Linked DNA regions of Drosophila melanogaster. The protein of the gene in region 2 interacts with the protein of the main gene of each other region in a pairwise test. Each region holds a gene or a part of one and is shown on either strand. Other genes may lie near its edges.

Region 1 (3,310 bases), about 11 Mb from region 2:
ACATCCTCCGTTAATAAAACGGGGCCTAAGAATGCGTGGCTGTTTCATTTGTGTGTGGGAAATCCTGAACAACAGAATGTCATAATCATGTGAAATAAAACCATTCCAAATGGCAGCCAGCCAGTAACTGCGAGTGCATAGAACATGCTGACTGGCTGAGAATTAGCCCCTCAGTCTCGACACTCTGCCAGACATGGCAGAAACTCATTAGCCTTATTACACAGACACCATTCTGCGGCTAAAACTGAGGGGGCGGAACCGGGCGTAGCCCCCACATGCGTATTAACTATTCATGCCCACACACACACTCATTCACTTTCTCTCGCGCCGCAAAGACATTTGAATAATTTTGACAAATGTGTGATTAATTCAAACATTTTGGCAACTAAGGCTGTCATTTTTTATGTGAGCACGACAGCAAATTAGCACTTCATATACAGGCACTGACTGGCATTCTCGTTACGGATATGATATGTGCCATTAGAACGCAACATGAAGGCTGAAACAACTTCTTTTTGAGTCGTGGTTTTATTAAAGGAAGGGAACAAGCATGTTGATTAAATTTAGAATAAAGAAAATGTGTAAAATATATATATTCGCCATAAGACTTAGATGACAATTAACCTTTCCGAACCAGCCAAGTCCTCTTCAAGTCCCCACAATGACTGCCTGATTGGGGCTTGGGCGATTAAAGACCCTGACAAAGTGAAATTTATGGCACTCAGCACACTTAAAGCTAAACGTCGGCCGTTTTTTGCTGCCTTACACTATGCATAAGGCCAGCGAGCAAAATATGAAACAGAAATCAGCCAGAGAAGGCAGAAATGAGCGGACAGGGGCAGAAAAGTGCACACAGCAAATAGAAGCGGCAATATAAAAGAGTCGCATGCCGGAAACGACAAACGACAGTCGGCGGTGGGAGGTAGAAAGAGGAAGCCTAATGCCAATGCCAAACACCGGATGCGGATGTGTGACACATGGCCGAAGGGGCGACCTGGCCACCCCATCATACCAATCCCTTTCCACCGACGACGACTGGCAACATACGCACAATGTCATTGTCGCTCGCTTTAAGTAGGCGACTTTATTAAGCCGAGGACACTGAGGAGCACCTCCAAAGTGGCAGGAGCGCAGCAAAGGCACATGGCACACCATTTTAGAATGACAAAAACGGGCACTGTGGCACCGGTTTAAGCATCTTAAATTTGAATATTAGTTATTATTAATTACAATATACAAGATCATGTTTTTTCCATTAGAAGTAGATGTGAATATTAAGAAGAGCTTCCTTTTTCAATGGTGTTTAAATTAAGATTATTTACGTTTAAGCCCCTCACTAGGCATATAAATTATAGCCGCACGTTTAAATCAGTTTTCCGAGTTGGCTTAAGTTGCAGCCTGAATTCTGAAACCCGAAGCTCCCAAGGTGGCCTTAAATTTGCGCGGTGCTTCGCTGAAGCGAAATTCCCACTGTGCATTAAGGGTTTGCAAAAAGAACAAACGGCATAATAGGCTGGCAGGACACCTGGGCACGTGTGTGCTGTTGTTTTGACTGGCCTTGCCAGTACTCACCTGGCATAAAATTAAGCCATGACGACGCGCTTGTCGCCTGGCCTGGCTTCTTATTCCGGGGCAAAGGTCGTTTACGGCACGGCCACAATTTGTTGCTTTTTGATATTTATTTAGACGGCGCTGGCGCATGAGAAGTGAAAAGCGCACAGCCCAGTCGGAACATAAATCAAAAGCAGAAGACGGCGGAAAAACCGTGAAGGAAAAGCCGCAGCGGAAAGGGTAAACGCTGCGGCAACAATGGAAATCGTTTTCAGCTGCAGAGCTTGCGACTTAAACTGGTTATTTATGGCAGGCCAAGGGCGAAGAGTTGAGGCTGCAAAGCCCAGCTGGGTTTTCCCGATCCAAACTATTGCCGGGTAAAAAATTGAGAGAAAGTGTAATGTCCCACGACACCAAGAAAAAACTTTTTGCTTTTTGAAGAAAGACACAGGACCCGAAAAGTATGCATTAGCTCACACCTTATGTTCCTATAATTTCCAACCAGTTCAAGCCACTTTCTTACCTAGTGCATGTGGCATTAACGGGAAAGGACATTAAATTAATTGAATCATGGATAGTAACATGGAACCTTGGTCCTTTGCCCTCAATTTCGATGACAGCGATAAATCGTCGGATAACGAGAGCCACTCTTCGACCAGATCCTCGAGCCGCTCCAGTGACACCAGCATAGACACCAGCTCCGTGGAGAAGGAGCCAGCTAGCGTAATTGAGAGCCAGTCTGTCCCTGGCGGAAGCTACGATGTACGTAACGACTTCCCCAATTAGGACGCATTAATCGATCCGTACTTTTCCCCCTATCAGATTATCTCCAAGACCAACATGCTGCAATTTGTGCAGAAAATCGATGCAAATTCATCGCTGGACGATCAAGGTTGCGATATGATGGCCAGAATAGCCGATGCCTTTGTTAACGACATATCCATGCGCATAGTTAAGTTGGCCAAGTATCGAAAGAGCGACGTTAGCGTGCTGGACCTGAAGTTCATCCTCAAGCGGGAGTTCAACATGGAGTTCCCAATTGAATAAATGTCCAATAAAGGGAAAAATAATGTAGAATTTGAAAATTGTGGAATGAATAAAATGTATGAATAACTTGGTTTAAAACTGTCAGAAAGGCAACAAGAATAATTGTTTTCTGCACCTAATTACCAATGTTAACCAGTGCAATTACTTTTTGGTCAATAAAAAAAATTTTATTTTTGGGTCAGTTTTGCATTTTTTATAAGGGGTACCATCATCAAAATTTGCAAAAATTGGCAAAAAATTAAAATTTCCAAATTGGAATGCCAATTGATTTGGGGATAAAATACAAGCTAAACGAGGTATGGCATTCCATATTTGGACAATTGTTTTAAGATTTATGATGAAAAAACTGAATATATTTGGGCGAAAAATCAAAAAGGTCTCTTTTGGCAAAAACGCAATATTTAAGAGTGGTATTTTCTTCACAACTCGCCTAAAAATAGTCAGATAAGTACAGGAATAACTGTTTTCTGCACCTAATTACCAATAGCAACAATTGCTATTACTTTTTGGTCAATAAAAAAAATTTTATTTTTGGGTCAGTTTTTGCATTTTTTATACCATCATCAAATTTTGCAAAAATTGGCAAAAAATTAAAATTGCCAAGTTTGAATGCCAATCGATTTGGGGATAAAATACAAGCTCAACGAGGTATGGCATTCCATATTTGGACAATTATTTTAAGTTTTATGATAAAAAAAAGGCCTCCTTTTAG
Region 2 (3,375 bases):
ACTCCGTATCCCAAATGTGTGGGTGGTCGTTTGAATGCCCTGCCCGGCTGCAAGTCTTTCTCCCGTCTCCCAGCGTCGTGTTCGCATTTTTTATTTCCATCTTCCATCTTTCGGAAAGGCCAATGCTTCCACTTCTTCAATCGATTTGAGTTTTATTATCTGGTTGGCATTTTAGTTGAATTGTTAGCTTAGTTTATGCGGCTGGCATTCGGACGTTTTCCCGGCCATGTGTGTACATATGATGATGATGATGCAAGGCGCATGGAATTGGCATATAACCAGGCTATGAAGAGGGAGAGACTAGGCAATATAGGCTGAAAATTGAAAGATATTACCTTGCATTCTATAACCACATTTTACTGCACTCGATTTCAAAGTAAAGTCCACAATAAAACATATATTCCAAATATAAATAAATGAAGGTGGTAGAGTTCTTTCTCTATGCAAAATATAGGATACCTTCCGACCAGGATATTGCACCTTGCACTTAAGTTAAACTCTAATGACACCATTGACCCACCCGCAGGAGTATATAGCCTACCCCTATAAGTAGAACTAGGGAGGGCTGGAAATTTACAAACTAAAAAACCTAAACAGGTAATTAGGTCAACGCTGCGCCGAGTGTCGCCGGCACGCGTAATGAACCTGTTCGGAAGTTAAGCCAAGTTGAGTTAGCCGACAAAGAGACACATCGCCGTGCATTTCTAATAAATTTCTAGCCGGGCCGAACGACGTCAAAACAACACGCGTCTTGCTCCTGGAAATGTCAGGTAACGTGGCAATTAAAAATGCGGCCCAACACTCCCCTGTGTGTGTGTGTGTGTATGTGTGTGTGGCTACGATGATCTTTCGGGCCAGAAGTTCAGTGGTGCACGGAAATGTGCGGGACACGGCGACAGGAGTTGGTAAGCGGGCGACTGTCGCGCGCCGCTGTCTTAACTAATATCCGCTCACCCCGAACCTGGCGACGGACTCGAGGCTTTGCGTCTACGACGGAGGCACCGAGGCCATCAGACCGCCTCCATTTGAATAATTAGGCGCTCGTGCCCGTCGAACGTCGCCAGTCGCCCGAGAAGGCCCACTTGCATTCCTGTGCACTTTGCATATCGTGTCCTGCGCCTGCCCATGCCACGTTTTCCTCCAACTCATTCCGCTCCTGTTGCTGGGCATTGAACAGGAACAAGTGCTTAGCTAGGATCGAGTTAGTGGGCCATAGAGGGCACTCAGAAAAATACTAATTGAGTTACGAATATGAAAGTCACTAGATGGAGTATTCCTAATGCAGATTATTCCATTCATTTATAGGAGGTTATAATGTTTTCCTCAGGGTTTATGTAAAGCTATCCATGTGCAATTAACAGCCTACGATGGAAACCCTAAAAATGGAGTTACCTGGCACTGTTATACTATAACATTGAAATGTAATTTCTTTTTTTATTTATAAAGCGAGTTAATGTAAATTATTTCAGTGCAGGAAAATGTTGCGGTCAACAGTCCACGAGGGGTGGGTGCACTCAAGCGGGGTAGACCGGCATATGTTTCCATGGAGGTGTTGCTGATGACTCGTGGCAGCACCACCACTAGCACCTGGCTGGGTGGCGTTGGTTAAGGGCTGTATAGGAATTTGAATGTCCAGCTGATGCATATTGCAGTCGAGAATCTAAATAGCACCTTACTCAAAAGTTTGATAATTATAAATATAATATAACAGGGCTACTACTTATTTCAAAGTCTCTAACAGTTTTTTTTTTTTTCAATTATAATGTACTTAGCTGAAAGGCAGTAACCCTAAAATGTTACCGTTTTTGACAACAGCAGCTGTAAAGCTTATTCAGTTTGACATATCGAAATTTTCACAGCAAAAAAGTGAAGCCTCGCGCAGTTTGTGAATTATATTCGTGATGTCAATTATTTCCCTTGAAGTTCCTATTCAGCCGTATGCTGGTCAGCTGCTCATCATCAATGATCTGATTCTGCCGGACTCAGGCTCTCAGGATGCAAGCAAGGCAAAAGTCTCCATAAAGAAAAATCAACGTGCATCCTTCTTTGACCGCAGCAGTATCTACAAAAAGATAATGAAGCACTTGTCCCAGGGCAACCAGGCGGATGATATCAACATTTCCGAGCAAGAATGGCTCCTGGATTCTTTTTTGGCCGCCTTGGAGACCTACATGAAACATGTGGTCAAGAAGACTATCGAATTGTGCGAGCATCGAACAAGCTATCATCTGCACAACGACGAACGTTGTGTGATGAAGAACGATATGAGGGTCACGATGATGTTCCTCAACGATCTCGAGATTGCCGACTATGGATCATCGGATGACGAGACCGGCTTTTATCGCAAGCGCCGGGCAGAGAACATCGACGAGGAGAGAAAGGTGGCTCGTCTGGAATCGGTGAATGATACGGCCTTGCTAGCCATCTCCGGTCGAAAGCGCCCGGGAGAACAACTAGCCCCAGAATCTGCTCCAAGTGGTTCGAAAGTCGCCAAATTGACCGGTGCTCCGATCCAGCGAGCATGTGCTCCGCGATTTAAGCATATGAACATCAGGGATGTACTGCAGTTTATGGAGGAGGACAGACGATACGCCCGGTCCAACATGCTCTTCGAAGCATATTTAAAATACAAGTCATAATTATGTAATTATAAGGATTTTCCAATACAGAATATCCGTTTTTATTCAGCACATTAAAATGAGAATGCATTCAAATGAATAACTATTTAAAATTAGTGTATCAGAAAACTTTTAAAAAATGCTATGAAATAAATCTAATTCACATGTGCAAATGCATTTCTAGAATATTTTCTTAACATTTTTACTATACGTATGATATTCAAAGGCATGTGTTTTTAGGCAACCAATTCCTGTATAATTTTGTTTGCCTCCCTGCATGCGCGTTACGATTTCAATTGCAGCAATCGCAGTTCGATGAACTTCCTTCTCGCGTAAATCCCCAAATGGAAACCCAAATGAAAGCCCAAGGAAACAGGTGGTGTTTATCCGTATCCTTTGTTCGGCTGCACTTGGCATTCAATGGATCCCTTGCTCCGTGCACTTTGAACTTTTGTGCTGCACTGCCACAGACGGATGACAATGGAGCGGGGCACTCAAAGGAATATCCGGCGAGACAGGAAGCATATGCGCACTGGAATCGAGTATCGAGCACATTGCGCATGCGCCGCGCGATAGGAAACGTGATTTTATCGGGGCGGCTCATTATGTTAAGTGCTGGCAATAAAATCAAAGCGCACGCGGCGACACATTTCATTGAACTTCAATTGAAGCCGTTCCCCAAGTCTGCTTACTCACGTAAGATTTTTTTTGTTTGTTTTTGGGACATGACCGAGGATCGTGCTAGGAACCTTCTAAG

The links.
Region 1: the proteins of nht (region 2) and Taf12L interact in a two-hybrid assay, tested with the Drosophila melanogaster proteins (one study listed by BioGRID).

Annotation. Positions count from the first base shown.
Region 1 is NT_033779.5:4,700,280-4,703,589, reverse strand, and holds Taf12L (TBP-associated factor 30kD subunit alpha-2), read left to right. Parts: upstream 1-2,104; 5' UTR 2,105-2,121; coding exon 2,122-2,313; intron 2,314-2,373; coding exon 2,374-2,598; 3' UTR 2,599-2,755; downstream 2,756-3,310.
Region 2 is NT_033779.5:15,317,373-15,320,747, reverse strand, and holds nht (no hitter), read left to right. Parts: upstream 1-1,846; 5' UTR 1,847-1,901; coding exon 1,902-2,639; 3' UTR 2,640-2,794; downstream 2,795-3,375.